Linked DNA regions of Elephas maximus indicus. The protein of the gene in region 2 interacts with the protein of the main gene of each other region in a pairwise test. Links are inferred from orthologs where the notes say so. Each region holds a gene or a part of one and is shown on either strand. Other genes may lie near its edges.

The links.
Region 1: the proteins of AAGAB (region 2) and AP2S1 interact in binary tests that used the Homo sapiens proteins (3 or more experiments, as listed by UniProt). The link is inferred for Elephas maximus indicus from reciprocal best matches to the Homo sapiens genes AAGAB and AP2S1.

Annotation. Positions count from the first base shown.
Region 1 is NC_064829.1:102,156,473-102,160,384, reverse strand, and holds the start of AP2S1 (AP-2 complex subunit sigma), read right to left. Parts: upstream 3,016-3,912; 5' UTR 2,874-3,015; coding exon 2,871-2,873; intron 1-2,870. UniProt on the Homo sapiens protein: Component of the adaptor protein complex 2 (AP-2). Adaptor protein complexes function in protein transport via transport vesicles in different membrane traffic pathways.
Region 2 is NC_064831.1:57,335,724-57,339,635, reverse strand, and holds the start of AAGAB (alpha- and gamma-adaptin-binding protein p34), read left to right. Parts: upstream 1-1,364; 5' UTR 1,365-1,404; coding exon 1,405-1,666; intron 1,667-3,912. Other genes in the region: IQCH (IQ domain-containing protein H), read right to left, coding at 1,272-1,364. UniProt on the Homo sapiens protein: May be involved in endocytic recycling of growth factor receptors such as EGFR.

The DNA.
Region 1 (3,912 bases), on a different chromosome or scaffold from region 2:
CACCAGGCGCTCCTTGGAAACTCAATGGGGCAGCTCTACTCTGTCCTATAGGGTAGTTATGAGTCGGAATTGACTCAACGGCAGTGGGTTTGGTTTGGTTTGGTTTTGGGTATATACCTAGGAGGGGAGAAAAGACCTGGTGATCTGCTGCAAACAGATTAGAACCTAGGAAACCCTATGGGGCAGTTCTACTCTGTCGTATAGGGTCACTTTAAGTTGGAATCAATGCGATGGCACGCAACAATAACAACATGGTGACTCTATATTTAACTTCTTCAGAAACTGACAAGCTGTTTTCCAAAGTGGCTGCTACTATTTAAGTAACTTAAGGAGCCCTGATGGTGCAATGGTTAAGCACTAGGCTGCTAACCGAAAGGTCAACAGTTCGAACCCACCAGACTCTCCACAGGAGAAAGATGTGGCAGTCTGCTTCCGTGAAGATTACAGCCTTGGAAACCCGAGGGGGCAGTTGTGTTCTGTGCTATAGGGTTGCTACGAGTCGGAATCGACTTGATGGCAATGGGTTTGGGCTTGGTTTTTAACTGCTCAGTGCCTCAGTTTATTCACCTGTAAATAGGAATAATAATAGTACTATCCATATAAGGGAGTAATGAGGAACAGACAATGTAGAAGTACTCTAACAAACGCCTGGCTGAATAAGCGTTCTGTGTCAGCTACGACAATCAGCATCAGATATGGCTAGGAAATTTATTATGGTTTTGAAAAGCCAGGTCAACCCTCATAGTGCTGCTGTGTAAATTTAATGAGTTAATGCCAGCTATGCTTAGCCTATGTCTAGTATATACTGCACACTCAATACAGTTAGCTATTATTATGACTCAGAGCAGTTTGACCAACTGGCTAAGAACCCAGACTTTGGAGCCAGAATAAATCCTGGCACTGCTCACTACTGGCTGTGTGTCCACAGGCAAGTCACTCAACCTCTCTGGGCCTCCGTGTCTTTCCCCTTGTGTATAATGGACAAAATGAGAGAATACCTCCCTCACAGGACTGCTGCTCAGGTTAATAAGCACAAGGGGTACAGTACAGTGACTAGCACAAACTGTGTGTTATACACTCATTGTATAATGTTTAAGTATTAGCTCTTTTTAGCATTGTAATTCTTCATTATTTGTCTTTGAGAAAACCATGCCCCAAGCTCACCCACTAGGAAGCCTGCCTTTGGGCCCAGTTCTGTCTGACACAGGCATACTTATACCCATTTTATAGATGAGGAAACTGAGGCTCAAGGAAAGGAAGTCTCACAGCCAAAAAACAGAGCTGGGAGTCAGACGGCTTTGCCCTAAACCCCCCTACCCTGACTTGTGGGAGCCTCCACCCTTTAACTGGAGTCCACTCTCTTTGCTAAGGCATATTTGCCACACTCTATCCCCCCCTCCCCCAACCAACCAAGCTGGACGGGAACAGGATATTACACTCTCCTTCCAAGAACCCCTTCTGCTGAGCCAGGGAAAACCACTTCCTGACAGGGCAGGGGTCCTGGGCAGGAAGGGAAGAGGCCTGGGGGGAGGGCACACAGGCAACCATAGCCTGGGGGGGCAGAGCTGGAGATATATAGGGCATATGGAAAGGGGAGCTAGAAAGAGGCCCACAGAGCTGAGGGGAAGGAGCTCAGCCACTTGCCCCCAAATTCCCTCATACACCTCTTCCGTGTCTTCTCTCCCACAATTAGAATCTTTCCACCTCTGGGGATTCACCCTGAGAAGTTTCCTCCCCCCTACTGCTCACCCCTCTGGATGCCCCATGTGGATACCCCCAACTTTCCCAATCTCCCAGACCTTCTCCTCTGGAGATACTCTCTTCGACCTCCACTCTCTCCATTTCAATCCCTTCCCTCAGGCCTCAATGGGCCATTTTTTTAAGACATTCCTTCTCTGACTGAAACGCCTCGTCCGGTGTTCCAAAGACCACATCTTGCCTCCTAGAACACTGCTGTTCTGACATCTTCCTCCATTCATTGCCTTTCTAGACTCCCTGCTCAAAGAACACTTTCTTCTGTTCCAAAGCCCACCATTCTGGGGGGAGGGGTGCTGCCCTCTCCCCAAATCCAATTACTAGCCCCTCCCCCACGAGCCCCCTCCCATCTCCTGCACCTCCTCTCACCTCCAAAGCCTCCTCCCTATCCCCAGAGACTACTCCTCTTGGGAAAACCAGCTCCAATGCTCGCCAGTTATTTCTGGTATCCACTCCCTACCTCCACCCCTCTCCCCCTTCGCAGCCCACATTCCTCGACTCGAAAGCCCCATTCATTCCCTACAGTTGCCTTATTCAGATCTCCAGCGCCCAGTCCCTTTCCCTTGAGATCATCTCCCTTTCCCCAGCAGTATCCCGTCCCTGTTTCAACACCTCCTCTCCGCCTGCGATGCCAGCTCCCTACCTCTGGAGACCCCTCCCATCAGGAAGGGCCCCCTCTCCCCAGTTCCAAAGTCTCTCATTCGCCTCCAACGCTCCCGCCTCACACTAAGAGAGTCCTCCTATTAGCGTGCCCCCTCCACACCTCCAATCCCCTCGCCTTATCCCTGAGACCCTGCCCTGCCAGTCTTTTCCTCCCTTGTTTCAAGAACCCCACCACCTCCAATGTCTCCCACCCGCACAGCCCTCTCCCCGTGACACTCCCCTCGCGTCTCCAATGTCCCTACGCCTCGGGACCCCCAGCCACCCCCGAGCGAAAAGTCACTGCCGTGTTCCCCCCTCCCTTCCCGGTCCTTGATCTTCCCCAACTCTGCGAGCCCGCGCTCGGCCCAGACCATCGCACCGCGGCAGGGGGGTTGTCATTTGCACAACAGGGCTTAGGTGTCTGCACGCGGACCCCCCTCCGCCCGTCCCAGGCGAGGGCGCGCCCCCGTTACCATGGCGACCCCTGTCCGGACCCCAGCGGCCCCGATCCAGTGGCGACTGGAGGGCTCTGGCTCTGGCTGCAGTTGGGGGGCTCAGGGCTAGAGCGGACTTCCGGCAAGGGGGCCCGCCTGCCTTCTCACGCACGGCCCGCTGGGAGTTGTAGTCCGGCGACTCGGTCAACACGTCCCAGCAGCAAGCCAGCGAAAAGGGCCAGGCCCTTTTCCCGGCATGCTGAGCGACAGTCCTCTTCGTACCACACGATTCAAACCCCAAGTGCATACTGGGAGTTGTGGATGAGCATCTCTCAGAGGACTACAATTCCCGAAGAGCTTGACAGCAAGATAAGTAAGGCTTGCATTCTGGGAAATGTAGTACGTGCCCCACCACAGCCTCCGAAGAGAGAAGGGCATGCTGGAAATAACTTTAAGTAAGAAACTACGTTAGGGAGCTAGAAATGTAACTTTTAGTGCTCACCCAGTGCTTTGGTTAAATTATGTTGACGGTTTCCCTGCGAGAGACGGACAGTGGTTTAAGAACAGGAATTTGGGAGTGGAACTGTGTGAAAATCCTGCCGTCGCAGTTCCTAGCTGACTTTCAGGCCAGGGAGTTCACCTCTTAAGTCTCAATTTCTTTATCTTTAAAAGAGGGCAGTCATTAAAAGAGGGCAGTCATCATAATAGTTACCCCTTGTAAATACTACCACCATCACTCATCCGTCAGTTTGCTGTATTGTCGTGGCTTGCTCGTTGCTATGATGCTGGAAGTTATGCCACTGATATTTCATATATCAGCAGGGTCACCCATGGTGGACAGGTTTCAACGGAGCTCCCAGGCTAAGAAAGACCAGGAAGAAAAGCCTGGCAATCTACTTCCAAAAATTAGCCAATGAAAACCCTACAGAACACAACAGAATGTTGTCCAATATAGTGCTGGAAAATGTACCCCCTAGGTTGGAAGGCACACAATAGCTACAACGATGGACTGAAAGATCATGAATACTGGTGCGGGGCCAGACAGCATTTTGTTCTGTTCTGCATGGGGTTGGCATAAGTC
Region 2 (3,912 bases):
ATAGGCTCTCTTTCTTTACATGGGCCTTCACTTTCCAAGTCCTGAGTAACCTTTTTACGTAAGTGGGGGCACTGAGCCACATGGACGTGACTATTCTTACTTAGCTCCTCTGTTGCATTTTACAATTCAGTGTCAACAGACATTGATTACTGTAATGTATCCTGGGCTGACCAAACAGCTCCCTCTGGATTCCATTCTGAAGTGAAAAGGCTTCTGGCTTTTCAGCTAGAGCACTCTTGTACACAATACCAAACCACAAGGGGAGCAGCCCTGGGAAATACAATTATCTCAAGGGAAGCTGTGAAACTGGCCTGCAGAAGGTCTGGAAGATTCTCCCCCAGATTCTTGTCTCTTTTTTAGAGATGTTCTAGGCCTGGAGGAATAGAGGAAACTAAAGAGAAAGTTAATTGTTCCTGTAGTCAACATGAAGTATACTTCATGGGGAAGAACTGGCTGTTTCTGGACAAGAGTTTCCATTAGTGTTTCAACTGTTTGGAGTCTGTAAAAATGGGGACCGGGTTTATAGGGGATGTTGGGTGAAAGAGAGGATGATAAGAGTGAGGTAAGAGAATTTGGGCATGATTCACAATCGGGAAGTCTATGAAATGGTTGAGTCCCAAGGCTCGTACTTTGGAAAAGGTGAATTTAGGAAAGTTTCTCCCAGATGGGAGGTAAGAGACCAAAATCCTGCCTGGAAGAACAAGTAAACCCGTTGAAGATCTGAGAATCCTGATAGAATGATCGTAGGCAAATCACTTCAAGCCTTATTCAAATGGAGCTAAATCTAAGAGTTAAAAATCGTTATGCATGTGGATGCATTTTAGAACTGGGATAGGTAAATGTGAAAAACGAACAAACAAACAATAAAATGCCTTAACCATTTCAGAAAATTCTGAAATTTGACGTCATGGCTTCAAATTTTTCAGAACATAATACTTGTAAACGGTGTCTCAGTGCAAGATGGATTTTTTTTTTTGCTGTAAACGTTCCGGGTGAGGTGATCTACAGTGTACGGCCTTGGGGTTTTACCAGGAGCAGAGTTTGTGGAACGCGACCTCCAGTGTATGGCACGGGGCTGAGGGGTGGTGCTGGGCTCCTGGACGAGGTCTGGGTGGGCATATTTGGGAGTTCTCTCAGGGGCTGAGGCCCTCGAGGACTGAAGGCAGTCTGGGAGCGGCGCCCCAAACGAGTGGACGCGCGCGAAGCGGCGCTGCTGGGCCTCGCTCCCAGGTGTCTTAGCTGGGCGGGGCCGGGAGAGGCCCATTTCCCACCTGGATTAAGATGGATCCAATGGGGTCGTAGTTTTCAGTCTCCTGAGCCATGGTCAGGGCCGGGGAGAGTAACCTCCCCCCCGGAGGCGCCATCTCCAGGCGCTGAAACCTTCGGCCAGGGGCGTGTGTCCCCATGGCAACGCTATGCGCGGCCCGGCCTATTCTACCGCGGGAGCGGAAGAGGGGAGCGAGGAAGGAGCCGGGGCGGCCTATCCGTTCCGAGATGGCGCCCTTCCTTGAGTGTCTCCCCCGCACGGCGGCGGCTGTGGTACAGCCCAAGGCGGAAGCGGCTCCTGGACGGAACCGGCTCCAGAGCGCAGCCATGGCCGCGGGCGTCCCCTGTGCGCTGGTCACCAGCTGCTCCTCCACCTTTACCGGGGACCGTCTGGTCCAACGTGAGTAGCGAGGCGGCTGGGCCGGCCTTCAACCCCTCAAGCCTCGGTGGGCAACAGGACCAGGGCCTCAACCTGGACCTTGTCGCCGCCGCAGGTCCTCGGCGGTGGCCTGAGGCTCTCCAGGTTCTTCTCAGTTTCTGTCGAGGTCCCTACCCACGCCCCCAGGTGTCAACCCTGTAACTCTTAAACTCATTGCTTTTCTGCCTGCCCGGTGCACTACTGCGTTACTTCCAGCATCTGTAAAGTGGGACTGATCCCTGCCCAGCCCACCTCACGGGCTGTTGGGAGGATTCAGTGAGATGAAGACCATAAAAGACGCTCTGGAAACTGTATTGAGCTACACGAGTATAAGGTGCAGAGACTGTTGATACAGTTGTGGCTTTTATTGCTGTCCCGGCTCCTGAGGTAGGGAGTATGTTTCCTCTGACTTTCGTGTGTGTTCAATTACTAGGTTAACCCTTGATGTATGCAAGACTTGTTCTTGTACTCTTTACTATGTGGTTAGTCCCTGCTTTGCCTTCTGAGGTTCTCCACCAATATTAGTTTTAGAGTATTTCTGAGCCTAGTCCCTTCGCCTCTGGACCCTCATATTGGTTGTCAGATTAAGTAAGTCTTAAACCCTAAGTGAAGAGACCATTGTGTTGGAGAGAGCACAGCACGGATCATAGGCTCAACTCTGCCGCTGAAGGGCCCTGTGAAGTTGGCTGTAACTCAAGACACCTTTTTCACATCCATGGCGTGGTGTCAGAGCACTGACTCTTAGCTGTATGATTGTGGGTAGGTCACTTAACCTCTGCCTTTCAGTCTTCTCATCTATAAAATGGGCACAATTAATCCATCATTTACAAGATTGTTGGGCTTCATTTAGACCTGGGTTCAATTTCCTGCCGCTTCACCTCCAGTGCAGCCACTGCCCATCTGTCCTGGAGGTTTAACGGGTTCCTGTGATGCTGAATAGGTTTCAGCGGAGCTTTCAGACTGAGACAGACTAGGAAGAAAGGCTTGGCAACCTACTTCCAAAAAATCAGCCAATGAAAGCCCCGTGAATCATAGCGGCCTGACCCCATTGTGCATGGGGAATTGATGGCATTTTTAACAACAGCAGTGTTGTTATTAAAGCATATTATCTCAGTGACCCTCAGTTTTCTAAACTTTAAAATGTACTTATTTAGCAGGGTTATCTGAAAGAAAGGTGAGGTGACATTTGGGAAAGCACTTTGTAAGCTGTATAAAGCATCCTACAATTTTATTTTTTTTTTACACCTACCAAATGTTAGAATCAGGCAGATGTCCCTCCAGCACAGATTTTCTATGACTTAGTTATCGTTTGTGATCACTTAGAATGTTCCTTGCTAGGGTAAAATTTTAATTATAGCACTTATTAAATGGCAACTAACTGCCATTTCCTTACCTCTTAGAAGTGCTCCTTCCCATTGTTTTTTTTTTAACGTAATGTTTCTTTGTAAAAGTAGTGGATTCTCATTAAGTACAATTTAGCATATGGAGAAAAGAAAATGTCATAGTCTCATCACCCAAACACAAACACTGCTAACATTTCAGTGCATTTCCTTCCAGTTTTTCTTCTAATGCATACTTGTTTTTAAATAATTCAAATTATATTTCATATGTAATTTTTATGCTGACTTTTTCACTTCATAAAATTAATTTCCATCACAAATTACATCTAGCAAACATGTCATACTTTGTTCAAGATTCTTAAGCCTCTTGGTATATTTAAATTTCCAAAAAATGTATATCCGTTTTAATTCTCATCACTGAACTATGAAAGTCCTTACGGCCAGCCTCAGAAACCTGTGCTAAGTATTCTGATGGCCATGGTGCTGTATATATCGTATGCTTTAAGGAGCAAAAATTTTTATTTCTTTTTGCTACTCATAGGCCTGGGACTCAGAGGCCTTATTTGCAGTATTCTAGGTGGATGTCTGCCATTATATAAAAGGGGCATTACTGATTTCCGTTGTAGGCTTTTAAAGGGAAATGAAGGCTCAGGAGCCTGAGGGACTTTTAGAAGGCTATCTATAACATGAGAGTAAGTCTCAGGGCCAGAACGCTTTCCACCTCACATATGATTTTAACTTTTATTCTGGAAATATTTATTAAGCACAGAGCTAGTCTCTTTGCCAGTTACTGCCGCTACAGTGTTGGCTAAGATACTATCCCTGTCCTCGAGAAGGATGTAGTGAAAACAGGTGTATGCTCCACTTGTGAAGATACTGAAACGTAGA